3 linked regions of the Arabidopsis thaliana genome follow. The protein of the gene in region 3 interacts with the protein of the main gene of each other region in a pairwise test. Each region holds a gene or a part of one and is shown on either strand. Other genes may lie near its edges. The genes, in order: EIN2, AT5G63190 and EIN4.

The links.
Region 1: the proteins of EIN4 (region 3) and EIN2 come close enough for resonance energy transfer, tested with the Arabidopsis thaliana proteins (one study listed by BioGRID).
Region 2: the proteins of EIN4 (region 3) and AT5G63190 interact in a two-hybrid assay, tested with the Arabidopsis thaliana proteins (one study listed by BioGRID).

The regions. Positions count from the first base shown.
Region 1 is NC_003076.8:783,188-794,896, reverse strand, and holds EIN2 (NRAMP metal ion transporter family protein), read right to left. Parts: upstream 7,470-11,709; 5' UTR 7,300-7,469; intron 6,767-7,299; 5' UTR 6,309-6,766; coding exon 6,060-6,308; intron 5,916-6,059; coding exon 5,829-5,915; intron 5,739-5,828; coding exon 5,628-5,738; intron 5,537-5,627; coding exon 5,324-5,536; intron 5,243-5,323; coding exon 5,057-5,242; intron 4,947-5,056; coding exon 2,286-4,946; intron 2,209-2,285; coding exon 1,831-2,208; 3' UTR 1,493-1,830; downstream 1-1,492. Other genes in the region: IDH-V (isocitrate dehydrogenase V), read right to left, coding at 1-97, 197-517, 663-854; LOG6 (lysine decarboxylase family protein), read right to left, coding at 10,820-10,843, 11,064-11,207, 11,288-11,358. UniProt on the Arabidopsis thaliana protein: Central factor in signaling pathways regulated by ethylene (ET) and involved in various processes including development, plant defense, senescence, nucleotide sugar flux, and tropisms.
Region 2 is NC_003076.8:25,342,008-25,351,406, reverse strand, and holds AT5G63190 (MA3 domain-containing protein), read right to left. Parts: upstream 5,866-9,399; 5' UTR 5,605-5,865; exon of another isoform or gene 5,596-5,604; intron 5,263-5,595; coding exon 5,046-5,262; intron 4,865-5,045; coding exon 4,767-4,864; intron 4,679-4,766; exon of another isoform or gene 4,638-4,678; coding exon 2,844-4,637; 3' UTR 2,607-2,843; downstream 1-2,606. Other genes in the region: AT5G63200 (tetratricopeptide repeat (TPR)-containing protein), read right to left, coding at 197-378, 526-647, 719-807, 884-1,051, 1,170-1,271, 1,351-1,443, 1,661-1,877, 2,201-2,364; AT5G63180 (Pectin lyase-like superfamily protein), read left to right, coding at 8,294-8,478, 8,707-9,399. UniProt on the Arabidopsis thaliana protein: Involved in target of rapamycin (TOR)-regulated translation control, especially under energy-deficient conditions.
Region 3 is NC_003074.8:1,233,475-1,243,133, reverse strand, and holds EIN4 (Signal transduction histidine kinase, hybrid-type, ethylene sensor), read left to right. Parts: upstream 1-4,517; 5' UTR 4,518-5,168; coding exon 5,169-6,929; intron 6,930-7,018; coding exon 7,019-7,558; 3' UTR 7,559-7,925; downstream 7,926-9,659. Other genes in the region: AT3G04590 (AT hook motif DNA-binding family protein), read left to right, coding at 1,531-2,023, 2,386-2,438, 2,620-2,751, 2,988-3,140, 3,282-3,627, 3,831-3,889.

The sequences.
Region 1 (11,709 bases), on a different chromosome or scaffold from region 3:
TTCCATGAGTCTTGGCATAGAGAAAAGCATACTCTGCAACTCTCAAACTCGCCTGACGGGTAATGATTTTAAGACTTTCCACCACACCTCTAACAACCTATTATATGCGTCAGGAGAAAACAAAACCATCATTAGAATCATTTATTAGAAGAACTAACCTGAAATATTCGATCAATAGACTTAAAACAAACTAAACCTGATGTTCAAGGCCACTGTATTCTCCTTCCGTGTTTTCTCTGATGGTAATGAGATCAACATCATCGTAACGAGTTTTGTAACCAGGAAGACTGTAACAAGGTCTAACATTGGCATATAGATTAAGCTCTTTCCTAAGAGTCAGGTTCAAAGAACGGTGACCTTTCCCAATTGGAGTAGCCATTGGACCTTTCAAACCAACTTTGTTTCTACGCACAGATTCGAGACTTTCCCATGTCAAGAAACTCTGTGTTCTCGGATCTATCTCAGTCCCAACATAGTGTTCTTCCCACTCAATTGGTACACCAGCTGTTGTAAACACCTGGATCAGTACAAAACGCAAAAACTATCAACAAAATTGCCGAATTCCCACAAATTATCGTACAAAATTCAATCAAACAATTATCTCGTAACTATGACTTCCAGAACTCGAAATTCTGCGCAGAAAAGAGATTAGGATGAGGGACCTTTTTGACAGATTCGGCGATCTCGGGACCGATCCCATCGCCAGGGAAGAGAGTTGCGGTGATCGGAGTGGTGGAGGAGCAGAAAGCCCTAGCGACAGAACTAGCCGCACCTGAGCTAGAGTTCACGGCTCCAAGGATCTGAGTCGATCGGTTTCCGATCAGCCGTCGCGCTAGATTTGCTGCCATGGTCATCGCTTCAAGCACCAAAAGGACGCAGCAAATGAAAAATTATTATTCGAGAGAGAGAAAGAGAGGACTTTTCTGCGTTGTGGGACAAAAGTTGTAAAAGAAGAAGCGAATATTTCTTCTTCCGTCAAAACGCTGCGTAGTTTCTAGGTTGCATTAGGTGAGTACGGAATTTAAACGGCACGAAGTGTTTCCTTAAACCCCAGGCCCAATAAAGAGTTGTTTTAAAATTGGTTTCAGCATCGGCCCAATTACATCTTATTTAACACACAAACTACATATATAGAACGTTTACGTAATACGTAAGTATTATTACGTCATCATACATACACTAAACCGGCTCCGGTGGCTTCTCCATAGCTTTATGCGGTGGTGCAGGTGCCGGAAAATTAGCCAACGGCGGTCCGTAGTGTAACTGCGACGTTGATTGAATCCCTTCTCTCCGGCCGATTTTTCGTCCGATGAGATAAAAGGCGATAGCGACGATCAGAAGGAGAAGAATCGCCGGGAACGATATGTAGATTACATAACCCATTGGATTAGTTACTCTGCTGGATTTTCTTAGTTCCCCAGAAATTTGAAGGACTTTATGAAACAGTAAGACGTTTCGAGAAGAAATATTGATAAGGACACGTGTCAGTAATCTAGCGTCGATGTGTCAGCTACGTGCAGAGATCCGGTTTAGGAGATTTAACATTTCAAACCGACGATTTCTTTATGATTCCGCATAGAATTACACAAACCGGATTCGGTTTGTAGCTATGGTCCTATGATGATGATATATGTATATAAACATAACATTACAACCAAATTAAGAAAAAAAGAGCGAAAAATTCTGAAGCAACAAAAATCCATTTTTTTTCTTCTTTTCTTAATACACAATTAACGAAGCAGAGGAGCAATCAAAAGCGAGAGTTTTGATTCTTCGGCTTCCCTCTCGACGTCACTTTGATCATGAGATTTCTCACAATGTTCTTCTTCTTCAACCCAATGATCCGTACGCAGTCACGTTTTTTCTTGAACCGGGTCCATCCTGATTCATACCTACTGGTTTATTCGATAACCGACGTTTATACCGCTTCAAAACCGAAGCCAAATTCTCTTTCCCCTTTGGGAAAGCCACATCACCTGCAGCTGTACCGGTTCGGCCTTTTCTACAAGAGATTGCCATTTCAACGTCTTTGATTAGATCAAGAAGTGTGACTGCGGTTGTGCATTTGCCTTTAGCCGGTTTTGCAGCCGGAGGTAACATTCCGTTAGCTGAAGTCGGACTCGCTCTCTGGTGGCTCGCTGGAATCTGAAGGCAAAAGCACGGTGTCATTGGTGTCCGCAGCTTTGAGAACGCCGGATCAATCACTCCCTGTTTAAATCCATACATGTCAATATTTTCAAACTGCAAAACTGTGATTTTCAATGAACTACTGCGGTTTTTGTTACCTGTAGGCGGTTGAGAACGTAAGTGTACTTTCCCCAAAGCTCAGGCCGACTCTCCATGAGAGACAAGTCAAGGACACGGTGAATGCACCAAACTCCAAAGCTCACAATCAAATCAGCTCTCCAAACGCAACCATCTCCACAGTTAGGAACCGATGAAATTAGTGGCTCCCCCATGTGACCCACCTGGTTTATTTCTCGAGCTTCAGCTTCATAGATAAACTTCTCTCGTGCAGCTACCCGGTCAATCAGTTCTTCATCAACTCCATCGCTTTGTCCAAACAACCACTCGGATCCTTCAAGTTTAATAAGCTTTAGAATACAGTGCCTGAACGACTGAAGAAGCTTAGCCTCTGCATCAACATTAGAAGAAGCGTTGTTGTCTATATTGATCGGATTCGATCTATTCCTGAGCTCCTCACCAACAGCACCATTCCTCTCCGCTACACCAAACTGCTCAAAGGGCTGTCTGGACCAAAGCGATCCGGTCCCTGTTGTTGCACTCTGTGGCAAACTGTAGGCATCTCTGTAGCCTCCTCTTGATTGAGAAATGTCATCATAAGTCGAGGGTACTCCCACCCGTGACCCCAAATTAGAATATAACGATGATTCATTGCTTAACCGACCATAAGACGCACCATACCCTCCTCCTCCACTTGACGGATCCCAGTATCCACTCTTGTTGTTTGGTAAATGCATGTTCCTTGCGGACATAGACAATCCTGAGATATCTGGCATGCTACTATATTTTTTCTCATTGGCTACTGCTGCGCCAACAGTATCAGTATTGCCAGAAGATGGAACACCGTAATAAGATCTTTCAGATTGTCGCGATATGCTTCTAGACCCAGCAAAATTCTCAAACCCAGGAGCTGGTCCAGGGGTTAGACCATTCTGGGACTTCTGTTTCAAGGCTAAAGCAAGTTGCTGTGTATAGCTCAATGTACCAAGCGCCATAGATCTCGATGTCGGGATCTCTCCACGGGATTGTAAGGCTTCAAGCCTTTCTTTTGCCAAATTGTCTACATATGACTTCATCTGGTATCCGTGAACTGTAGCTGGTTGTTGGTGTTCCCAACCCTCTGAAGATGATGGAGCACGCAGGCTAGAGTATCTTCTCTCACTCAATTCGTAAGCATTATTATTATTAGTGGTGTTACCATATGCACCCAACATCTGCATACGGTTGACCAACGGTGACGGTGACGAACCTCTTTGTAATCCATACAACGAATCGATACTTCCCGGTGTCCTCTGCTGCTTCAGTGAATCATATAAACTTGAAGTCATCTGTGAATCCATTCCCTTCGCAGTTGGTGACATGCAATATCCACTGCTAATGTCTTTTCCAAACGAATCTGCTTTCATAGAAGAGGCTGACTTTTGATCAGTGCCAAACAGCTGATCTAGTTTCTTTGCCCTGGCTTCAGCAACCAATTGCCCATGAAAATCATATAAATGTCCCCAAAATTCATCAAGGATCGCAGATAAGTGTCTCCGGGCAGCACGTCCCAAACCTTGCAACCGTGAAAGGCTTCCAGTCCCACTTCCCCCTTCCCCACTTAAGCTGCGGAATGAAGGAGGACCATCAGATCCGACAGTAAAGTTGCTTGTAGGAGCAGCTTTGGTAGCTTCTTCTGTTTCCCATGAAACCCCTTCAACATCCTTTTCAATAAACTTGCTGTTATTCTCCATGCTAACAATCTTCTCCACAGGACTCATTGGTTCAATTTTCGCCATCTTTGTTTCAACAATCAGATCCTTATCACTGACCTCATTAACCACTGTTGACTGCAATACAGACTGTTCCTTTACATCAGAGTCTTCCTTAAGACTACTAACTTGAGAGGTAGAGTACTTTACATCCAACTCTCTTTCCTCTGGAGGGCTCGAACGGATTTCTTGATCCGTCATTAGAATGTTCTCTGGCAAATCATAGACCGAGCTAGTAACAGACGTAGTATCCAACTGATCCTTTACCCTGCTTTCCAACCGCACTATTGATTCGTCTTCGTTCCTCCTTGTTTCTGTTCTTTCAATTTCCTCTTCTTGAACAGATGGATAAGATAAAGCATTTTGAGCATCCATGTTCCATATTTGAGCTTCCGCTCTGTTACTCGCAGATTTCAGCGGCGTGGCTGCCAGCCAGAGTATCAGGCATAAGGATGCACATGACGATACAAGCAGAGTGGTGTACTGAATCGAGGTGCCCATCACGGTATTCCATCTCAAACCACCAGCCCAGTCACTGCTCCCAAATACCATCTCAACAACAAAAACAACATTCAACCCCAGAAATCCCAAAAACGTTGTAAGTGCGAGGAACTCGCCAACCTGAGGGATTTTATGGACACCCATGATTTGTCTCGACGAAGCAATGCGGAAAAGCGGTATTACCGAGCAAGGAAGCATCATTGCCACCAAGACCTGGGTGAATATAAGTAACTGGTATATTCCGTCTGCACCAGATGTCCATACACAATAAAGCGCAGGAGCAACTGCAAGAATTCTGATTGTAGCACGATGAAGCCAAGCGGGTATTTCTATCTTCAGGAAGTCATGCAGGACGACCTCTCCACCGAAAGCCCAAGCTAGTGCGGTAATTTGACTAGAGAAGAACAAGAGCATCAAAAAGACCACTGGAATGAGCGGACTCATAAATACCTGTGATCAACAATCAAGAACAAGATAATTAATAATCACGAGAGATTTCTGAACATTTTCCCTAAAAATGAATTATAGACTAATACGAACATAAAACCGTCAGAACAAACCTGCTCCATTAGTGACAAGGCATCGTGAAAAGTCAGTACCACAAGGCCAGTACTGTGAAACACATTAGCTGCTGCATTCATCAATACATAATTTACAAGTGACAGTCCGCTGAAGACACCAAAGATGGCGAACAAATGGTCTTGACACAAGCTGCTCTTGTCGACATCAGACGAAGATGTACTTTCCTGTAATAGAGCGTTCACTGCTTAGTATAATTATTGCTTCTTAACAGAAAAGAGAGATACATATAAAGAGAAAAAAGGTACCCCAGCAAAATAAGAATGGATATAAAAATTGTGAGGGACGATGCTTGCGCCAAGAAGACCCATCAGTGCGAATGCGCTCTCTCCATTTAACCGAGTTAACACTCCATTCATAGAGAGTGGGATCTCAGACTGACTCAGCAAGACGCCAGATACATAGAGAAGTAATACCAGGCCTGCAGAGTAAATGGATACTGTATTTGCCATACCATTTTCCTGTCAGAAATTGTATGCATGTCAGCTAATTTCCAATAATGCTATTTCAAGAACGTGGAGAAAAAAAACAAGACAGGAAGACCAGTCATACAAGGAAAGAGGCGAAAACAGGAAATAAAAACGCATCCATGGCGGCCAAAAACACTCCAGTGGATAACTCCACCCCAAACAAAAGGTTAAGTGCATGCGCAACTCCCACAACCTGTTTATAATAGAGAAGCTCAAGTCAGAGGAATCAAAATTTTATCACATAATAAAAAAATTAAGAACAGCAAAGATTGTAAGTAACTACCATGGTAAGGTCGAGCAGAATTGCTGAGAACTCCGCCTGAATGCCCAAGAACATGCACGTCCACTTGTCATATTCTTCATTGCAGATCTGTCCCAGTAAAGAACATTAAAATGTTAGAAAAATAGAGAAGGTGGTTAGTAGAATTCCACTTTGAGAAAGTGACAAGACAACCACAGAGCCCAGTTTGTTATTTTAAAAAGTTTGTTCTTTAGAGATCAGAAAAATGTTTACCTGAGCCAAGTGTTTACCAGTCACAACGCTTATGCGAGCTGCAACATATTGGCATAAGATGGCGGCAAAATTGAAAAGCAGAGTAATTGCCACCAAGTCATACCCGAAACGAGCACCTCCTTCGATATTTGCAACCCATTTCCCGGGATCAATATATCCGACAGAAACCAAAAGGACAGGAAGTAGAGCAGGAACCATTCTCTGGATAAACCCTAGCTGAGGTCTCACATTCACAATTTCAGCTTCCATCCTAAATCTATCTGATAATATAATTACTCAGAGTAGGATTCAAGGTCAACTCTACAGTCGTGGTTCACTAAAAGCCTCAGTTGAGTAAAATTCACAGATTTGATCTAAAACACCTTCCCTCGCGAAATCTGATTCCCTCCAAAGCTAACACACAACAACGAATCAGTCGGTTCTTCTATCACCGAGGCAAACAAAGCCACTCTAACGCTTACTTGTTATACAACTCTGTACAGTCTTTCTTTACCTAATAATAGCTGAAGTTTCCTCTAGTAACCAGATGTTAAGTTAAGGACCAGACCTTCTTCTTATTTGCTGCTTCAAGGAGAGAGATCATACAACATTCAGCTAAGTTGGTCCAAATGGAGGAAGCCCTAACAGAGCAACCAAGAGCAGAACATAGACTTCCATATGCTTAACCACTACGGATATCTCCAAACCATTCGAAATCAGCTTCAGACCTGAATTTTTTTTTTATGGTGAAAATCTTCAGATACAGTAGTATTACAAATCAATAATTGATCTTAGTATGAAGCAGCAACAAAAAGAAGATAAGCTCAAAAAAAATACAAATTTCAACTAAACTGAAGCTAAAAGAATCGTAACGCTGACGAAAAGCAACAAAAATGCAAAGATCCCGTATGATCTACGCATTCAGATCTTCAAGGAAAAAAAAGGTCAACCACAAACCAAGTACAGTAGTAAAAAAGAAAAAAGCTTAAATCTCGCAATTAAAACAAAACCCAGAAACCGAAAACAATCCCGAAGAACTCCAAGTCTGGAAAGTCCAGATAATGAAGAGGGAGAGAGATCTAAGCTGAAACTACGAATTCGATCCACCTGATGAAATTATAAAAAGCTGGAAAAAAAACCCAGAAAGTCTCATTTGCGCAAAAGCCGAGGGAAAAGCTACAAAAACCCATGAAAGTCCGTACAAAGCCCCCCAGCAAAATAAAAAAAAAAACAGAGGATTAGGGTTTTTGAAAGAAGTCACCTTCGAAATCGCCATGATCGCAAGTTGACCTAACAACAATAGTCTCAGTGAGAGAGAGAGAAACGGATCTTCAAAAGAGAGAAACTCTTATCAAGCTACGAGAGATAGAGATAGAGAGAGAAAAGAAGAGGAAAGAGAGAAAGAGCTCAGTTCCATCGAAAGAGAGAGATAAAAGAAGATCGAAAAATCAATTATATAAAATATTTATATATAAAAAACGTATACATACATATTTGTATCTATAGGTCTGAAGGTTATGGGTGCTCGTGCCACCTTCAAAGAGAGAGAGAGAAAAAAAAAATTATTACTTGTAAATAACATGTAAAAATAAAGGTATTATTCTTTTTTTTCTTATAGCTAAAAAAACGTCTTTTTAAATAAATTTTCCAGGTTTAACATATAGTTTCTTTAATCCATCTTTATTAATCTTTTTAAACTAATCGTAGTTTATTCCATGGACGAAGAAGAGAATTATTATTACTTTAAATTTCTCGACCCCTCTTTCTCCTCATTACATGTAATAATAATACATCAAACAGCTTGATTATGGAGTTTCAAATGGAGATTATTTTACTTGATTTTGTGAAACGCTAGCTAAATTTATTTTTGTACTTTTGATTTGAGTAATACAAAAATGTTGTTTTCTAGCAATTTTTTTAATTTTTATTAAAAATTTAAAGGGACGGTTACAAAGCGAAAAATAATATAAACGTGACTAACTTTAAGAATACGAACAAAAAATAAGGAATCAAATCTTCTAACTCGCAAAAGATTACATGTGTCGAGAAGATTTGAAATTTTTTGTTACATTCGAGAAAAGTTTACGCGATTCTCGCATACTATAAAATTCAAATCTTAAACAAATAAAATTGTTTAAATATTGTATATATAACTTTTGGCTACCTTTTTATTAGAATTAAAATCCAAACATAATTTAGATCTATTTATCTTATATTAGAGACCAATGTCTAGGAATTTTTTTAATGATTTACTTATTTTAGTATTAAAACAATCTTTAAAATTTTACAAAAATACATGAATAGGTTCTATTATACATTTCAGCGTTCTGCAAAATACTGAAATTATAATTTTCCTTTTGCATAAATATAATAAAAGAGAAATCAAAAACTTTATTTGAAAATGACGTTATTTGAGAAAACTAACTAAAGTTGATGATACAATTAGGCGTTATCAAAAGCTGAAGTTGTTGACTAACGAAAATGGAAAAATAAATGAAGGCGTTAGTACCATAAATATGTAAAATCGGAAATGAGAACAGGATTCGACATTATACTCCACAGAATGCTATAAATAATACGTCTTTATATAGCAAGTTTTTATTTATTCTGCTGTATATGTATTAGACATCAATATTAATTGCATAGAACAACTATTTGTCAAAAATAAGAATTCATGGCCTTCCCTCAAATAGAAAAGAAACAAAACAAAAAAAAACATTTTGTTTTATTTGTCTTTTGATCTCAACTAAGAGCTTGATTTCATTAAATCATCATTGAAAAAACAAATACACTCTACTTTTAAACTAAACAAATATCATATACGAATTTCCATTTTATACAAAATATGTAGTTGGATACAAAATAATAGCTAGATTTTGTTATCACCAGTTATAATAAGTCATTAAGATTTGTCAATAGATTCCAATAAATGTATCATTTTACTAACGAAGAAACAGTTACTATAGTTAGTTAACTGAATCATATTTTAGTATGGTTATATTGATTGATCAAACCATCCTTAACCGAACTATCCAAATCACAAAATCAAACCCAAAACCAAAAGAAGAAAACAAATATAAATAGAATTTCTACTATTTTTGGTCAAATATAATCCACGTGTTCCTAATCATCTCCTACATCAATGGAAGTACAGCTTGGGCTTTCGATAACCATACATTGTACCTTACTATTTTTTCCAATTTGATTTCTTTAGGCTTTTTTTATGTAACTTGTCACTATATATTTAACATACTCAACATTATCCATATTCTCTTGTGAAAGTATATATACATGTACATTGGATAGGAAGCAAATTAAAACACAAGAAACTAAAATTTTGCATCAATGAAAGGAACATGGGCTCCTCTCAGTCCTATGTTGATGTATATGTTCAATGAACCATAACATAGAGACCACACTTGTTTTTTTATAACACTATAAATATATATAGAAACAATATTCTTCAAGTACTTTTGAAATAACACATACGAATTTTTTTATCCGTACCGATGAGTAACCAACACAATTTAAAAGTTTGACTGAATAAAAAAAGTCAGAATTCTTCAAAGAGTCAAGATAGTCATATTTCAGTTACATATGGAATGTATAATGATATCATACAAATAAGTTCTTTAATATGTTTTGACTAATAAATCAATTTCAGTTATTTAGTTTGGTCATAAGGAAGTTTTTTTTTTATAAAGTCTCGTTGATGTTGTTTGGGCAGTTAACCAAAAAGGGAACAAAGCTACATGGTACAGATCATTCATCAGCTTAAAGAATCTTTCTTGTCGATCTTTTTTTAACTAGATTGTGATCTTTTGGGCTTTGTGTCCAAATATTTATTTATTAGTACTATCAATCTATTAATAAAATGGATTTTTGTTAACATAACCTTTCATTAGTGTAAGGGACAATTTAAATTATTTTCCTTCTTGGTTCACTGAATCTCTCTTGGGCTTAAAACACATGGTGGGTGGGTTCATAAGAATTGGAGATTTGAAAATTTTAGTAATTAACCTCGAAACATGAGACGTCAGTTACAAATCAGAACTCGTTTATTGTTCAATTAATTGGTTCGATTCAACAAATGTTTTCGTTTAATCAAGTGGGTTTTCTTTATTTTTGTTCTTTTTTTAATGTATGTGAGTTATTACGTGGAGACCAGAAGAATAAGATCGAATCGGGGATGTTTTAGGAGGAGACATATGAATTTTAAGTAACTTAAACAATTCGAGATTATGTAATGATTTTCTATAATTAAAGATTGCTTGGCTCAGGACTTTAGATCGAAAGTTGTAGCTCAGACAAATGTTTTTGGTAGTAAATTGAATCGATTTGATCTACACATTCAAACCAAGAAAAATTGATTAGTAATATAAGTGGTAGCTAGGTCTTTCAACAACCAAGTGTTGCAATCGATATTAGTGTTTAGGTTGGCCCAACAAATAATAAATTTAGCTTGGGTCTACGTAACATTTTTAGAAAAATTGAAGGCAAATGATCTATTCTATAATCGGAAATGTCAAAACAGCCCCTTATATCCAAAACCATCGGACCAAAAATTTACAGTATCTAACGTAAACGTATATGAACTTAACTTAAAATGTAAATGAAATGCACTAGTTGATATATTATAAAATCACAAAACAAATTTACATTTTGTACTCCCTAATCAAATCCGACTTTTAGATTGACTAAGAAATAATCAAATATTTACTCATCCCGATTCACAATTTTTTGGTATGAATCGTCTTGGAGCTCAGTTTTGATGCATATTATTACTTGTGTTGAGGCACATATTCCTGCAATACACACCAATCAAAAATTTCATGATTATTAAACAAAAACTCGGTCTAGTCTAACCAGCTTTAGACATAACTTGAAACAAAGATAATGCATGTTTAGATATTCGATCTAGTGATACCATATTCAACTAGAAAATAATAAATCATAACGGGATCATGACTTGGATATACTGTATGGTTCGGTTTAGGGTTAAATCCGTATCATCTATCGATATACCTCCAATTTTATAAACAACTCTCTTGCGGTTGGTGCAGATACGATAATATGTCGAGCGGTTGGAAGAATAAATCCCTCTTCGACGGCTTTGTCGATGAATAACAGCAATGCATCGTAATATCCATCAACGTTTAATAAACCGACCTGCAAGAAAAAGAAAACAATAGCTAACTCTATCAAAATGTCGGTTATTATCTTATACCAGACCAAACCGGTTTACATACCGGTTTATCATGGATACCAAGTTGTGCCCAAGTTATCACTTCAAGTAGCTCCTCTAGTGTACCATAGCCACCTGAGGATTGACACTTCGACAGTGAGGACTCGTTGACTTAGTCAAGTGGCACGTATAGTAAAACTCAAGAAGATTTTTTTTTTTTTTCACTTTCATTTTTGACCTCTTAAGAAAAGTCAACATCTGATTTATGAAAAGTAGTCCTTCTCTTCTCTTTGGTACTTTTTAAGTCAAAGGTCAAAGGTTAGTGCACTCATCACAATAGTTACCATTATGTTTCTCTCAGAATATTCAACTTTATAATATACCAGCACTACCCAAAAAAGAAAAACAACATTTTGCAACTCATATTACGATCTTTTAATGTCTGCTCAGAAATATAAATCTTACAGATATAAATTGCGAACATAA
Region 2 (9,399 bases), on a different chromosome or scaffold from region 3:
TTATCATCCCAAGTTAAAATATGAAGAATGGGCAGGATATGCAGGACTCCTCATACTTATTTTGCATTACTTTTTTCACCAAGTACCAAATATGCCTCGAGAAAAGGTGAAAAGGAAATCAAGTAATAGAAACCCTTCTGTCTAATATAAGGAAAACAATGAACAACCTCAAAACAAAGAAGTGAGCCAAGAGCACCTTCTCCAAACATTTGCTCGAGCTTCTGTGATCACCCATCATATAGTATGAATTAGCAAGATTCACCCACGCATGGGCAGACTTTGGATCTGATCTTAGAGCAGCCAAGAGACATTCCTTTGCGACATTCATAGGTGCCTTCTGATCTTCAGAAGCATCAGCACCACCATTAGCCCCGGCACCTGACATCAATTGAAAATACATTCACATGTTACAAGTGAAAATACAGTTTACATAAGATAGATTTCCCTCTACTTTTTTCATGTGTACTTTGCTTAGGCAGATTGAGAGGAGCAAACAATTTAGAGGTTCTTTGATAAGAAACAAACCAGCAACAGTTGAACTGTGTTTGCAGAGAAGCTCGGCAGCATAATTTATCAAAGCGGCAGGATGGTTATGGTCTTTCAGTACCAAATCTTGAAAACATTTTGCTGAAAGCTCCATATCGCCACTGGAAGACTTGTTCATTAGAGTGAAGTATCACGATAATAGTTAGAAATAGAGGGGAAGAAAACTCCTCACCTTTGAAGATAAGCAACTCCAAGGTTTGCAAGGCAATCATAATTGTCAGGAACAAGAGCCAACAAGGATGACAAAACTGATATGGCACTCTACAAATTAACAAAGCAAAACTATATAACAAAAGGAATGACATTGATAATCAACCAACATGGTGAGGAAATTTACCATCAAACAACCAGCTTTGAGAAGCATTAAACCAAGGGTATTCCACACGGCTGCCTGTCTAACATCTAACTTTATAGAATCCTTTAATTTTGAAAGAATTTCTTCAAGCTCTTCTCCCTCAAGCTCTTTAACAGAGTCAGTATCCCCAAAACCATCCAAAAGAAGACACTAAAATGTTTTCAAGTGTACAATGTTAAAACCTTCGAGTGAATTGTCAATAAACTAAGGAGCTCTCGAATACAAGAACTTCAAATATGAAATTTGGTTCAGACACAAAGATCATCACCTGTCCATGGTGAATTTGAACTAATAAGAGAAGTTCTGGCCGAGCAATTTCTGGCTCACAACCCAGTAAGATCTCTTCAGCTTTCTCATATTCTGGTATCGCCTAAAACCTCCTAGCAGTTAAAATCACTAAGATGATAATTATTCTAAGATACATCAGAGTACCCTCAGCTCAAGCGTACCTTTTGAGATTGGCCCAATCGTTGAAACATAAGACCAAGTATAAAATGGGCATGAGCATTTTTGGGCATCTTCCTTGCAACATGAATCAAACCCTATAAGCAGAGAAGGAAAATCAGAATTTATATAGAGCATCATCATCATGAAAATTAGACCAATAATCAACTGCGAAGAGCATTATGAATATAAGAGGACCATCATCATTCTTTCTCCAAATGTTTAACGATGAATGCATTCTTGGCAACTTTATGAAATCCTAGCCCCAATATGACCAAGCACACTTTCTACGATACTATGAGTCAATAAACTCACCATTTTGAGGTTACTGATTTTTTCTTCCCGGGATGCAGGGACCCCTTGATTAGCCAGATCACCATCTGCATCAACTCCACAATCAGAGGAAGACTCAATCTTACTTCTGGAGCGGCATTTTCCCACCTTGCTGATCTTTTTGGCTTCTACTTCTCCTGGTTCCACCTCCTTGCATGTTAATATACCTCCCTCTTGATGACTTTCCTCGTTACTCAACCTAAAACACACAAAAATGTATTTAAGTTAAGAATCATGAAGCTTCTCCTATCCCCCAAAGCAGTAAGAATCAAACTCTACTTATCAAAAAAAAAATTCCCCATTTTTAGACTCTTGCTGAAAGATATCCAAAGTCTCGATTTTTAGATTTTGCGGCATAAGAAGACATCAATATATTCAACCCCGTAACAAAAATGTCACTTCAAACATATGTTTCTTCCGAACAGAGGAAAAAAAAATCTCAGCAAAAGAAAGTTAGTCGAAAGCAACAGAAAGAAATAGGTTAATTAGCTGAAACACACACAACTACGTATGTAGAAGTACCTAGTGATGGGAGGAGGAGTAGGGATTGGAATGGATGAGTCAAGATCATCAGTCTCAGGAGGATTGAAATTAAGGTCAGCTAAAACTACAAGCTTTAGAGGTCGAGAAGGAGAGTCAACGGTCATGGGTTCGCATTTGACGGCGATCGTCTCCGGGCGGTCCATTGATGGTGCTGAGTACGCCGGACAGTAAAGTTGAGCAGAAGAAGAAAGAATCAAAACAAATATAAAAACGAGGATAAAGCTGTTTGGCAACGAGTATTGGTCTATCCTTTTGTTTGCTCTATCCCGGAACCGGAGTCATAATTATCTCACCGACCGAACAAATATATTTTTATTTATCTTTTTATAATTTAATTACCATATTTTCTATATTTATAAATAATTTTCATAAAATATCACAAGAGTAATAAGTTAACACAAATTAACCATGCTAATAACTTATTTTCAATGTAACAAAAATCCATCAGAAATTAGAACACACTAAAAGATATCAGTACAAAGACAAAACACAACAACCAGACAGAAACACATGAACATATAAACATCTCATGTTTATCTACTAACTGAATCCATACATATATGTAGATAGTGAGGAAAGTATCGTAAGCACAAACACAAGAAACTGATAAGAGAACCACTAATCACTGAGTTGCAGAAATCCCAAACTCGGGAAGGATCCAACCATTGTCCATGGCATGACTAGCATACAGCTCAAACTTCTCTTTCGCGTTCGGTATATCAAGCGACAAGTCATCGAGGCTGTCGTTAACACGACCAAACCCTTTCGTCATTTGGTTAGTTGTAATCAATCCTTCACCAAAACACTCCTCAAGCAGATTCAGTAACCGATCATTCTGCTTCTCCATTGCCATCACCAAAGCTTTCTTCACTACTTCGTGGTTGAAAAAAGGCATCCCTAGATCGCGGATACATTGACAAGCTTCTGATGTTACTCCTCCTGTTTCGTATTCTTCTAGGAGTTTCGAGATTTTGTCCTTTGCATCTTCCACTATCCAGCCGGTTCCACCTCCCCAGCTTCTTAGGAGTCTCTCTCCTGCGTGTCTGGCGGAGATAAGAGACCTGGCTGAGCGGACTGTTTCGGTTCCGGTTGATTTTGGAGGCAGCTTGGTTGAGATATCTTCAAGGTTAAGTGGAGCTAAGACGTCGTCAATCACAGCTCTAGCTAAAAACAGAGCAAGTTCGTTTGATGCGTCCATGATATCTAAAGCTGTGTCTTCTGCCGATTCCAGGAGCATAATGAAACCGTTTATGAAATCTTCAGTTGAGAATAGCTCCATGTGAAGAGCAGAAAGAAGAACCGAAGCCATTTCCTTTTCTCTGTTTTTCCTGTCTAGAGCAAGAGTTATGAGCCTCTTCAGAAACACCGGGTTATATTCAGGTGCCCCTAAATCTTGAAGACTGCGGATTAGCTCAGGAATGTCATCTGATAAGAAATATTCCTGAATTATGTTCACTGTATCCTTCTTGTACTGTCTTAGCTTTCCGTCTTGACTCGATTTTTCTCCATCTTGATCAGAGGTTATCTTAAATGAATCATCGAGCCAGCCTCCAGAAATAGCCTTTGGAACTATCGAATCAAACAGCTTTTTGGCAGATGGGATATCTAGAGCAAGGTCATCGAGACTCTCTGCTACTCGGAAGAATCCCTTCACCATTTGACTCGAACTGATCAGTCCTTCTTCAGCAGTTTCCTTCAACAGCTTTAGTACAAGTGACTCAGCGGTTGGAGAATCCATCGCCAGAACCAAAGCCCTCTTCACAACCTCATGATGGAAAAACGAGACACCTAATTCCCTGATGCATCTACAAGCTTCGTAAGTGTCTCCGTTTTCCACGTATTCCTTCAAGATTTCAGATATCTTTTTCTTCGTTTCTTCTACTGTAGTGTGAGTACTACCTCCCCATTTCTTCTCCACTAGTTCTGCATGGTGAGGAGCTGAGAGATAGCTCTTTTCTGCAGTTACAATAACCTGAAACCCTTTGCAAGATTCTGGAAGAATCTTCTTAGATCTAACCAGAAAAACCGGAGGGAGAATTTCGTCAACGATGGCCCGTGCAATAAACAATGCAAGGACATTAACAGCATCAAGGATGTCCACCGCAAGGTCATCAACAGATCTGAGAAGTCTTATAAATCCATCCCTAATTTGATCAGGTAAAATAACATCAGCATACAATGCAGAGAGTAGCACTGAAGCCATTTCCTTCTCCTTATCGTGTCTGTCCATGGCCATAGAAACAAGTCGCTTGGTGAAGTAAGGATGATATTCGCTTGAACCAAGTTCCCTGAGGTCAGATGCCGCCACTTTCACATCCCCGGTGCTAAAGTATTCGTCAATGATGGAAACTACTGACTTTTTGTAATCATTCAACGGGTCTGATACCGGTGAATCAACAAGTCCATCATATGCGTCCTGTTAAATTGAGTATATGAATGAAAAAAGCAAACTACTAATAAAAGATAAAATCAAGGGATGTTAGATACACTAAAGAAACAAGGAAAAGTATCCAACACAAAACAAAAGGCGCAAATATGAAAGTACCTCTCCACTATCGTAATTGGGATCATTCTTATCAATACAGGAGTCACCATCATCAGTGTCAAGAAGCTTTCCCCAAGTTCCTTTGCCACCAGCACCCTCTGCAGATATCATTGCCACATAAGTAAACCATATATCACCTACACACTTGAACTCTTCTACTGAAAACTTAAGTCTTTTCACTAAAGCAAATTTGAAAGGAACTAATAAAGAGTCATATCACTCCCTAAAAGGATCTATTAGCCAAATAACAAGCACAAAAGGTTGAAGAAAGTTTAATACCCTTCTTAACACGAATATGCTTCCCTGAGTGAGTACGTCGCACATGCCTATTAGGAATCCCAGCAACTGGTCCTTTGCCACCAGTGGGAGACTTAATGTTCAGATCAGCAAAGAGAGTATGAGATTTAGGCGATGATGACAAACTTCCAGAATTATGAGTTGCTATTTCAAGCTTTTTCCACTGTCCATCCGTCAAAATTCCCTCACCCGATGCCATCTACAACATTAAAACGACCATTAACTCATAAATCAAATACAGAAATAACCTCATAATCACTCGAACCAACCAAAAAAACTCTTCCTTTTTCCCCAAACTCCTAATAACGATCAGTAAGAACATGAGAAATTTGTATCCCAACGAAATTTCTTCCCATTCAATGATAAAACAAAGAACATGAAACCCATAAACACTGTGAATCATAAGAACACACACACAGTGATATTTTCCACGATTTCTAAACGAGAGACCTTAAAACACTCCAAAAATTCGATTAAGTAAACAAAACATCACAAAGAAGTATGTATACAACTATACAAAACAAAATCTAACCTGTCATACCTGTGATCGCAGGAATCAAATTCCAAATCGTGAAACAAAGTCGTCTTCTTTACTGCTTGGCTCGGATCTCGAGCCAAGACAGAAAAGATAAGGAATCGGATCTCCAGCACCGGAGAAAAACGACCGGAGAGTATCAAAGTAGATAACGATCAATTTATCACTACAAGAGAGTCGCAAAGATTCAAAAGTCACCGATTCCCAGACAACGACGAGAGAGGAAATGGATGAGGATCGCCAATAAAAGTACTACTTTACAACAATATAATAAAGTTTTGTGCATTTGTTTATATACGATGGTACACGTCATCAACGTAATACGTGGAGGGCTTAGAATATTTCCTTCTTTTTTTAATTTAGCCTCCAATTTTTTTAAAGATTTTAATCCAAAACAATGGGCTGTATTGGGTAGGTTCGGCCCATTGAATTAGATATTTTGGGCTGGACAATATCCAATGGTTGACTACGTTAATAAAAGTTTTATGCTTCATGGAATCATATTATTAGATCATGGCCATCATGTTTATAGTTTTAAAACAGATATGGATATTGTATTTTATATTTTTCAAATTATTATGACTAAATTATATCAATATTCATTTTAAATTGTTATTTTAGTGAACGTACTATGTGTATAAAAAAAACAAAAAAATTATAACACTGATAAATGAGTAGAGAAGAAGTTAGCAAGTAGTTTTCAAGCAAAAACCGGTCACATGCCCTTTTGTCTCTATTTTCTGATCCGACGGTTTTCTTTATATCTACCACCTTAAATCCAATCTAACGACTCTATTTCTTTATAGAAAGGTCAATTCTCTACATTTTTTCTTGTTTTTTTTTCACAAGACAATGTCATGAAACTTGAATTGATTTCGTATAGAAGACAAAAAAAACTTGTAAAGTTGAGCATTTGTTCAAAACATTAATTTGTTAAGTTTGCTTATCCAAATGATCAAGTTTCAGTTTGATAAGCCAATGTAGTCAATAATTAAAATGGTTGAATTAGATATTATCATACTCTATATTTAGTTACTTATTCAAATGCGTTCAATTATTTTTGTATTCTATGAATCATGTAAAAAGTAGTGAAAAATGTATATAGATTAGCTTTTGAGCGTTGAGAATATTCTGAAAAAGGAACATTAATGTCGATCGGTTCTCGTGTTTCATCACGTACGAGAACGAAATCATTTACTAATCGAATGAATGTCCAAAACTGTCTAAAATGTAGTGAGAAATGTCATTTAATTGTTTTCTGCAGTTTATGTACCAGAATACACAATTTGCTTAATGTATAAAATAATTTGCTACTAACAGTAATTTAAAAAAAAAAAACTAGACTTAAACTCATGATCCATATTTTTGCCCGAAGTGAAAATTCATCAACATGAATGGCTCTAGCAAAAAGAAAAATGTCGGCGAGACTTGTAATCGAATAGTTGATTAAGTTTTTAAAGACATTGTTCTTTTTAAAGTGTGGAGGAGGAGGAGGATATAGAGTGATGATGCAAATACTTCCCATGTGCATTGATTGTCAACACATTTTGTACCAGCCAAAATTTCAACATAGGGTCTGATTGTTAGATATGAATGAATACACTACTATTCTAAAAACGTTATATGAATTTAAGAAAATTATATGTGTAGAATTTATTGAAAGATTGGACTCGAGCACATGGTTCGGTGGTCCCAAAATCAAACCTCTATGGGCCAGTGTCGGCTCAGTTCTCCTATTCTATTGCTTTTGGTGGGTCTATTCTTTTCTCTTTTCCTGCAAGCAATATCTCTTTGAGACACCAAAAGAAATTCATTTTGTATAAAGATAATAATAATAACAAACACTCTAAAACCAACTTATCAAACAATTCAAAGTGTATCAAATATCGTATTCTTACAATTACAATCCATATACGTTTAGTTATCAAAATATGGTTTAGTAGATAGCAGAAACACTAAAGTATCTCGAAATGTAATACTTTACTATATGAGCTTTAACAAAAAAAAAAAAAAAGGAAAAAAAAAAAATCAGTTAAATTGAGCTAACTGCTATGCTATTGATAATATTCAACCGTTAAAACGTAAAAGTAATGATAAAGGTACAAAAATTAAACCGTAATATTAAATATTAGTACTAAAGTACATTACTAACACAGTGTTGACTTTTGGTGCACCGTACTTAGTGTTTCACCAACATTCAGCTTTAAGTTCGTTGAGATTTTAATTACGAGTTCTGTGTTTTTTTTCTTTAAGCCACGTGACTCATTCCTAGCGTTACCTGAATGTTGAATACAGTATTAAGTGCTATCGGTTTGATAATCTTAATTATTAGAACTGTTGAGCCAATTATATTTGTAATGATGGCTGATATTACTCCTTCCGTTTTTAAATCATAACCAGCTCCGTTTAGCTTGATCAGAATTACATTTCTGAACAACACTTTTTAGTTCAGCCAAACACTTTTTATCAGGTATCATGAAATTTGAATCTTAGGAAACATTTTGCATTATTTCTTCTTCTCTAAAATGACTTGGGTTGATTCCATTCTCACACACCAAAATAATTTCACAAGAAGAGGAAAAAGGTTAAGCAAGGTGGGTCCAATTAACGTCAAGTTGCATGCGCAATAAATCACCCGAAGTGTTCATATGCTATATAGTCTATCGCTTTGCTTTGTCTTTCTCTCTTCACTCATATGTTTCGTCCCAATTCTCTTTTAATACCTTCAAATTTATCAACAACAAAAAGCCAAAGAAACACAATGCTAAATTCTTCATATCTATCCTTCGCACTTATCTTTTTCTGCTGCATTTTGTTCTCCGCTCTCGCTTCGTCTTTGCCCGTTTCCGACCCTGAGCTTGTTGTCGAGGAAGTACACAGGTATATGTTCTAACAAAAATGTAAAAGCATTTTACATACACTCAAATAGTCAAATGTTTGGTATTAGATATTGCTTCCAAGTTCTTTCTATCCAAGGCTAATTTTGATCTTGATCACAAACTCACTTGTTACTATTGCTGCATTAATAGCTATGACTTATGAGTACGCCTAATTACGTACGTCAAGATTAATTAATGCTAATATATTGTCTGTTGGTTAATGCATTAGAAAAATAAACGAGTCCATATCAAGAAGGAAGCTAGGGTTCTTCTCGTGCGGGAGTGGTAATCCAATCGATGATTGTTGGCGATGCGACAAGGATTGGGAGAAAAACCGAAAACGGTTAGCAGACTGTGGTATCGGTTTTGGCAAGAACGCTATTGGCGGTCGTGATGGTGAAATCTATGTGGTCACGGATCCAGGAAACGATGATCCAGTAAACCCTAGACCGGGAACACTAAGATACGCAGTCATTCAAGATGAACCGCTATGGATCATTTTTAAGCGAGACATGACGATCCAACTAAAAGAAGAACTCATCATGAATTCTTTCAAAACCCTAGACGGACGAGGAGCCTCCGTACACATCTCCGGTGGGCCATGTATAACCATACAATATGTAACCAACATCATCATCCATGGTTTACACATACATGACTGCAAGCAAGGTGGGAATACTTACGTACGTGACTCACCAGAGCATTACGGATATAGAACGGTATCCGACGGTGACGGTGTGTCAATATTCGGTGGAAGCCACGTGTGGGTTGATCATTGCTCGCTATCGAATTGCAACGACGGGTTAATTGATGCAATTCGTGGATCAACGGCTATAACGATCTCGAACAATTATTTGACGCATCATAATAAGGTTATGTTATTGGGACACAGTGATACGTACGAACAAGACAAGAACATGCA
Region 3 (9,659 bases):
CCTATACAAAAACAGAAGTCAGATTCAAAATCCTATTAGCAAACAAGCTGAATAGAGCTGAATGAAATTGTTATATCCAAGTACCTACGGTTGTTGCCGGTGATAAGACGGCCGTGGATATACGGCGGTGGTTTTGCGACTGGAGATAGTCTTTAGACTGACGAAGAACAAAACGAGGTTTAAGTCATATATTTATTACTATTTGGGAGTCAGAATATTTTATTTTTGTCAATTTTGCCGTCAAGTTTTAGATATACACATTACCCCTTTCTCTCTGGCCCAAAATTAAAACAATTATCGTCATTTATCCCTTTACTTTTAGAGAGAACAAATATCCCCCTCTCGTTAATTTTTTCAATTGTATCACTAATCAAAGTCTTTGACGCCATGATTGCCTTTTTCACTAGAAGTTCATTCATCATCTAAATGCACCGGTCCGGTTTATTGAATATCTTCTTCGTCTTTCTTTCTGATCCGTTAATAATCTTTCCATAGTCTATAAGATGTTATCATAATTTCATAAATTTTCATAATCCAATAGTTGATTAGTTTATGCACTAAAATAGGTGTTAAAAGATTTTAGATATGAAAATCATGTTTTGTGAATTTGAGAAAGAAGAAGAAGGGAGAAGTTTTTGGAGTGTTGTTTAGTGATGGAAGAAAATTCTGATGATGTTTATAACTAAACAAGATATGTCAAGAGATAAAAAAAAAAGAGTGGTGAGTGATGGGACGTTTGATTCTCTCATTGGTCTTTTCATCTCTAAAGGATGCTTCGGTTAGTCAATACAAGACTTGAAGATGCATTAAATCTGAAAAGGCCGGCCTTTGAGTTTTTATGGAGTTCATTTTGTGCTAGCTACATTTTTCAGTACTTGAAATCCCATCCGTTTATGCAATCTCCTAGCCAAAACAGATCATTGAGTTCCAAACAGTTACAAAGTCTTTTTTTCCCCTTTGTTTGATGCTTTGTTGCTTGTTTAGGAAGAAAGTGAATATGTGGCCTAACCGGGGTATTGGTTAGTGATTAAAGGCCTTTGTTGAATACCAATGTTGACGAATGCAAAGTTGAAAAAGGAGTTCAATCTTTTTGTTACACCCCCATTGACTTTATCATTTTCTTTTAATCATTCAAATCATGGTTTCTTTGAAATTGGAGGATATGTTAAATCAACCATGTACTAAATGACTAGAGAAAAGTGAAAAACTGAGAAGGTGAGTGAGTGATCTTTCGTTTCCCTCTGAAAAAATTAAATTTCTGTTTCCTCGAGAAATAAAAACAGATAAAAAAGGGTAAAAAGAAGAGATGCTTTAACACACATAAGTCAAAAACATCTTAAGTCAAATCTAGAAGATCTAACGGTTGAGATTCTATCTCATCATCTTCCTTCTTATCGATTAATATATAAGTATAAAATAATAAAACCCTAAAAGAAAACAAAAAAAAATGCAAAAAGAAAAAATGAAAAAAAATCCCTAACTCTCTCTCTCTAGAAATTCTTATTTTTGTGCGTATCTCTCTAAAAAGGAATGGATCCTAACGAAAGCCACCATCACCACCAACAACAACAGCTCCATCACCTCCACCAACAGCAACAGCAACAGCAGCAGCAGCAACGACTCACTTCTCCTTACTTCCACCACCAACTACAGCACCATCACCACCTTCCAACCACCGTAGCAACCACCGCTTCTACCGGAAACGCCGTTCCATCTTCCAACAATGGGCTTTTCCCTCCGCAGCCTCAGCCACAGCACCAGCCTAATGATGGGTCATCTTCTCTCGCGGTGTACCCTCATTCAGTTCCGTCCTCGGCTGTGACGGCGCCGATGGAGCCGGTAAAGAGGAAGAGGGGTCGACCAAGAAAGTATGTGACGCCGGAACAAGCCCTAGCGGCTAAGAAATTGGCGTCTTCTGCGAGTAGTTCGTCTGCTAAACAGAGGCGAGAGCTTGCTGCTGTTACCGGTGGTACGGTATCGACTAATTCCGGGTCATCCAAGAAATCTCAGCTTGGTTCTGTCGGTGGGTTTAATCTTTTCTTCTTTTGAATCTTATCGTTGGTCAATTTGATATCTAAAGTTTCCAACTTTAAGGTCAATGATTAATCTCCCAATTCTTAAATTTTGATTCTTTAGCTGTTAATTCGTTGGTGTGATTTGAGACGTAAGTGCCTTGAATTAGCATTATGTATAATTTACAGCAGTAGATTTACATCTTGAGTTTCTTAATTACACTGAAGATTGTGTAGTTAGATTCTTGTTTGTATAGTTTATCAATTTGTTTCTTTTTTAGATCCCATTGAGTATCTTTCAAGTGATCCTTTAGTTATATTCTGGAATTTGTGTTATACTCTGAGCTTTACTACAAGTTTTTTGTTGGTGCAGGGAAAACTGGACAATGTTTTACTCCGCATATTGTTAATATAGCTCCTGGCGAGGTATGTCATGTTCTTGTACACTCAAGATCCTTACTTGTAATAGAGATTTGTTGGTGTAGGCACAATATCTATCATTCTTTCAATTCTAAGTCATTCTATTTCTCTTTTTGTTTCATTGATACTAATGCAAATCGAGGAGGATCCTTAATGATTCTAAGTGTTCTCTTTGTGATACTGTCAGGATGTGGTCCAGAAAATTATGATGTTCGCAAACCAAAGCAAGCATGAACTATGCGTTCTTTCTGCATCAGGCACTATCTCTAATGCATCCTTGCGCCAACCGGCTCCATCAGGAGGCAACTTACCATATGAGGTGATTTTCTCTTGCAGTAAAATAGTACTCAGCTTGCTTCTTTGTTGTTTCTTTCCAAAGGGGAGAGGAGGGTTTTTTCTTTCTGATCCTTTCTCTCTATTCTGTGTGATAGAGGAAAATTGATACACAATACAGTTAGCATGTTGATAAAGCAAAGAGATTCTTAATTCAGATACTTTCTTTGAAGTTTGCATATCATTGTTAAACTTGCCTCAAATTTCAAAAAATTTATTCAGGGTCAATACGAGATTCTCTCACTATCTGGATCCTATATCCGAACTGAACAAGGTGGTAAATCCGGCGGCCTTAGCGTTTCTTTATCTGCTTCAGATGGTCAGATCATCGGTGGAGCGATTGGTAGCCATCTCACAGCTGCTGGCCCGGTTCAGGTACAATTCTGTTGTATCATAGTTTCAACTTGCATATATTGAAACATTGTTATTGTTTCCAACCATCTTACACAAAACTGATCATTTCCTAAGATAGGAGGTCTGGCTTTGATTGATCGCCTTAGATTTGTGCAAATGCAGGTGATTCTTGGTACGTTTCAGCTTGATAGAAAGAAGGATGCCGCCGGGAGTGGTGGGAAAGGGGATGCTTCAAACAGTGGAAGTCGGTTAACTTCTCCTGTAAGCTCTGGACAGTTGCTTGGCATGGGTTTCCCTCCTGGTATGGAATCTACGGGAAGAAATCCAATGAGGGGAAACGACGAGCAACATGATCATCATCATCATCAAGCCGGTTTGGGTGGACCTCATCATTTCATGATGCAAGCGCCGCAGGGGATACACATGACACATTCCAGGCCATCTGAATGGCGCGGAGGAGGCAACAGCGGTCATGATGGCAGAGGCGGTGGCGGGTATGATTTGTCAGGTAACAAAAAAGCTCAAAACTTCTCGAAAGATGTCATCTTTCTTCATCAAAGTTCAAACCCTTAAATCCAAACAAGGACAGATTAGAATTGCTATGGAGATTGGTGGAAATTAGTATTTTGTAGAGTTCTAGAAGATTACAGGCTAAAGCTCTTCTCCGTTGTGGCAATGGCTTGAAACGCTGATGGATGTAATCTTGTGCAGGAAGGATAGGACATGAGTCGTCGGAGAATGGAGATTACGAGCAGCAAATACCGGATTAGCAGAGCTTCCAGGAGAAGTGTGTAGAGTTTAGATCCCAAGTAGAGAAACAGAAGGCGAGCAAAGAATCTGAACTGAGAGAGGACTTATTAGACAGAGACTCGTCTGAAGGGTCTTTAATCATAGAAAGAAGTTGCTGAGTGATTGCTTTTGTTCTTCTTCTTGGTACGGTGTATTATATTAACTCCACAACCTTTTTTTTATACTTTCAGTAACGATTCTCCTTCACTTTCAATTTCATTCCTTTTTTTTATACTCTTTTTCTTTTCTTATAATATTTTTTTTGGTTTTTCTTTCGTTTGTTACTAAAAAAGGAAATGCTCTTTTTGTGAAATATATACACTTCGTTTGTTCGGTTTCTACTTATGTTAATTATTCATAACCTATCTTAATTTAGTAAACGGTTCCTATGAGCCGTTACTTGGACCAAAACATTAACTCATTTGACGAAGAACAAAAAAACTCATTTGAGAATTCTGTTTATTTATTCATATTAATATTGATTTAGTTTAAAATTCTTGGTAACTTTATGTCAAGTTGTCAACTTGTAAATTTCTTGATTGATAATGTTGGAATGCTATAACTTATGTGAAGCCAAAAATTACTGTTAAAAATTCTTATCTTTAATGGGAATTTTTTGTTGACATCTAAGCTTAAAGTGAAACACCACCATTTTTATGGACTTGAGCAACTCTCCGGAAATTGCTTAAGCGAAAAGTCTGCTGCTTTTGTCTTAAAAAAACTTTGAATATTGTTGACTCAAGTCTGAAAATCCGCAACTGAAACTCCCGGAAAAGATCTGCCACCACCGGACCAACTCGGTTTCTTCTCTTTTCTAATCACTTCTTCTGTTTCTCCAACTTCTGTGAAAAAGATGTCAGATTGACTCGATTTCGTTGCTACAAATGGAGATGGGTCTTTCTTATTTATCTTACTAGATTCGAGAGGTGTGTTCTTTCTCTATTCTATTGGCTTGAATCTTAGCTTTCGTTTTTCTCTGATTACCTTCCCCTGGAATTTAAAAAAAAAAAACTCAAAGGCGGTTTCTTTTCTCAGTACTACGAATATCGAGGAACATAGATCTTGATTCCTTTGCCTTCTTCTGGGTATGCGTGTTTGGAGTTGTTTAATCTCATTGGTCTCTACGCGTTGTGGAAATCTATGAATACCAAGTCAGTTATGTTTAATTGGTTCATTGGATCTCAACTTGTAGAGAGCCTCAAGATTGTGGCTGGATTTGATTAGGGTTTTAGATAGAGAGATTAAAGATTGGATCAGAAGATGTTAAGATCTTTAGGTCTTGGATTGCTTCTGTTTGCTCTTCTTGCTCTGGTTTCTGGTGATAACGATTACGTGAGCTGTAATTGTGACGACGAAGGTTTCTTAAGTGTCCACACCATCTTAGAATGTCAAAGAGTGAGTGATCTCTTAATAGCCATTGCCTATTTCTCAATACCTCTCGAGCTTCTCTACTTCATTAGCTTCTCCAATGTTCCTTTCAAATGGGTTCTTGTTCAATTCATTGCCTTTATTGTCCTATGTGGAATGACTCATTTGCTTAACGCTTGGACGTATTACGGACCACACTCTTTCCAGCTTATGCTTTGGCTTACCATCTTTAAATTCCTCACGGCGCTTGTCTCGTGTGCCACGGCTATCACGCTCTTGACTTTGATTCCGTTGCTGTTGAAATGGAAAGTTAGAGAGCTTTACTTGAAGCAGAATGTGTTGGAGCTTAATGAAGAGGTTGGATTGATGAAGAGGCAGAAGGAAATGAGTGTGCAGGTGAGAATGCTTACTCGGGAGATCAGGAAATCGCTCGATAAGCATATGATTCTGCGGACTACTCTCGTTGAGCTATCCAAGATTCTTGATTTACAGAACTCTGCTGTTTGGATGCCTAACGAGAACAGAACCGAGATGCATTTGACTCATGAGCTTAGAGCGAATCCGATGAGGAGTTTCAGGGTAATCCCGATTAATGATCCCGATGTTGTTCAGGTTAGGGAGACCAAAGTAGTGACAATTTTGAGGAAAAACTCTGTTCTTGCGGTTGAGAGCAGTGGTTGTGGCGGTTCGGAAGAGTTTGGACCGGTTGCTGCAATTCGGATGCCGATGCTTCACGGATTGAATTTCAAAGGAGGCACTCCCGAGTTTGTGGATACTCCTTATGCTATAATGGTTTTGGTACTTCCGAGTGCGAATTCACGGGTTTGGACCGATAAAGAGATCGAGATAGCGGAAGTTGTTGCTGATCAAGTAGCGGTTGCTATCTCTCATGCCTCAGTTCTTGAAGAATCACAGTTAATGAGAGAAAAACTCGGTATTCAAAACCGAGCTTTACTTCGAGCAAAACAGAACGCGATGATGGCAAGTCAAGCGAGGAACACTTGCCAGAAAGTGATGAGTCATGGAATGAGGAGACCAATGCACACAATTCTTGGTCTACTCTCCATGTTTCAGTCCGAAAGTATGAGTCTTGACCAGAAAATCATCGTTGATGCGCTCATGAAAACAAGCACAGTTCTCTCAGCTTTAATCAACGACGTGATTGACATTTCGCCTAAAGATAACGGGAAATCTGCATTAGAGGTTAAACGGTTCCAGCTACATTCCTTGATAAGAGAAGCCGCTTGTGTTGCTAAATGCTTAAGCGTTTACAAAGGTTACGGTTTTGAGATGGATGTTCAAACGCGGTTGCCTAATTTAGTAGTAGGAGATGAAAAGAGAACGTTTCAGCTTGTGATGTATATGCTTGGGTATATCTTGGATATGACTGATGGAGGCAAAACCGTTACGTTCCGAGTTATCTGTGAAGGTACTGGAACAAGTCAGGACAAGAGCAAAAGAGAAACTGGAATGTGGAAGTCCCATATGTCCGATGATTCCCTCGGTGTGAAATTTGAAGTTGAGATTAATGAGATTCAGAATCCTCCATTGGATGGTTCGGCTATGGCTATGAGACATATTCCGAACAGAAGATATCATAGCAATGGGATTAAGGAAGGCTTGAGCTTAGGCATGTGTAGAAAACTTGCACAGGTTAGTGATCTCATCATGTCTCTGTTTCTGTTTGGTATATAGAGATTCTAATTATAAACAGTGTATTTGATTTGAAATTTGTTTTGCAGATGATGCAAGGAAACATATGGATATCACCTAAATCGCATGGACAAACACAGAGTATGCAATTAGTTCTGAGGTTTCAGACAAGACCATCGATTAGGAGATCAATCTTAGCAGGAAATGCTCCAGAGCTTCAACATCCGAATTCAAATTCCATTCTTCGTGGTCTAAGAATCACTCTAGCAGACGATGATGATGTCAACAGAACCGTGACTAAGAGACTTCTTGAGAAACTCGGCTGCGAAGTAACTGCTGTCTCGTCTGGATTTGAGTGTTTGAATGCGTTGTCAAATGTGGAAATGTCGTATAGAGTTGTGATTTTGGATCTGCAGATGCCGGAGATGGATGGTTTCGAAGTAGCAATGAAGATAAGGAAGTTTTGTGGACATCATTGGCCATTGATTATAGCTTTGACTGCTAGTACTGAAGATCATGTTAGGGAAAGATGTTTGCAAATGGGGATGAATGGTATGATCCAGAAACCGGTTCTTTTGCATGTTATGGCTTCTGAGCTTAGACGGGCTTTGCAGACCGCGAGCGAGTGATTCGAGCTCAGAGAAGGAAGCAGATATCAATGAATCTTGAAAAGCAAAAATCTTGAAACGAAGAAAAGCAGAGTGAGGATTCTTTGAAGATGTGAAGCATAGAGACACCTCTCTGGGGAAATGTTTTTGTTGTTGTTGTTGTCTCGGTTCTACAGTGATGAGAATTGAGTCAGTTTTCTCTATTTAGCCTAGTTTGGAGATTGGTTGGTTCGAAACTATTTATACGTAATGATTTCGCATTTTTAGCGAAAAAATAACATAAGTTTATTAGATTTAATAATAATTAATTTTATAATTTTGTCTTGAGTAAATTCTCTCTGAATATTTATACAATTCTTTTTTTGCATCTCATTATTAAATTCATCATATTTTGTCAAAATTCATCGCTTGTATTCTCTAATCTATTGCTCTAACTTTTTATTCTTTGTTTACTATTTTTTGACATTTTTTATTTAGTTTTACTATTCAGACTGAATGTTTCAAGCATTGTATATTTTGGACATTTCTTTGTCAACCAAAAAGAAATAATATTGTATCAAATCAAATGAAATTTATTAATTATTTATTTTTTGTCAATGTAATTTAGTTAGTATTTTATCAAATGTATTTTTTGTTTGTTTTTTGATATAAACAAAAAGTCTATTTAAAAATACTTTTTTTGACGGCAAAAACTTTATTTGACAGCAAAAACGTTTTTTTCTTAAAGACTAAAGTTTAGACCAGACCACCACACCAAACGTTTGATTGCTAAATGTTAGTATCTATACGAACACCAAAGTTAATGTTATTTAATGCTTTGTGTAGTCTTAAGAACGAACATCACGTAACGCTATAAATTATGTTCGACATATCGATGTTCGAATTTTTTAAAATGTACTTATTTGGATTGGATATTAACAAATACCAAACGACAAAAAATAAATCCCCATTCTAGCTTTAATTCAGTTCTCGTTTCTCTCAAACAATTGACAAAAGAAAATCAGAAGTTTGTAATGGTTATTGGATATCAATTTATTCCTAATTTTCAATCTTTTTTTCTACTATCAATATATTAAGATGTAAAATTAAGAAAAATAAAACTTTTAACAAAAAAATGCATATACGCATTATCAATTTATCATTTGAGTGTTATTTAAAGTGAGGACCATCTACAACGGATATTTATCTTGGGAATTATAAAATTATTCCTTTTTATGTGATAAGCAGTACCTCGGCGTACTACTAATTGTTTTAAAAATCCTTTTATATTGTTTTTTTAGGACCCCTAAGCAATGCTTTTATCTTGTGGTCTTAGTTATACTTTTAATAATGCTCGTTTATGGATTCCTTTTCAAAGTATTATTTGTTAATTGCTCTTGTTAACTTTTGGCTAATTAATTATTATTGTCTTTTGAGTGCGGTTTAGGGCTTCCTTTTTGATAAAATATCACAAGAAAATTATGATTTGATCTTTCTACACAACACTTTTTCAAATTTCTAGTTTTTCAAATTACTTAAATTACAATTTAAAAACCTGAAAATCAGGTTTGATTATTTGATAATTATCTTTATTTTATTTAAATTGAGTTAACTCAATCATTAGAAGAAAGTGCTAACTTTGTTGGACTTAGATATGAATATTGCTCTATGTATGCCTAAAGATTAATTTATATATGTAAATTTTCGTCACACCTTAATAGCAACGACTAGTTTTCGGAATAGATAAATATAAGAAATTCAAAAGATAAGTCTATTATATTTTGTTGTTTATCTGCTTGACTACTTGGATCTAGATAAATTATTTTTCAAATCATACATTTGCAAAGGGGACTAATTTATGTGAGTAATTCAAAATTCAAAAGCACTCTAATCATAAATCATTTTAAGTATTATGCATTTCTGCTCGAGAAAGTACGGATATTAAACAAACAATTACCATGTCCATTAGGGTTTGCGTTTTGCAAGAGGAACCCATGTGGTACCATGTGAAATGGTCCTCTATTGGCATACCTTTGTTTATGATTATTAATTAAAAGATGGTCAAGAAAGCCTAGAAAATTGGTAAAATGACGACACTTATTAAGAAGACCAACAAGAGGTAATATATATATATATTTGGTAT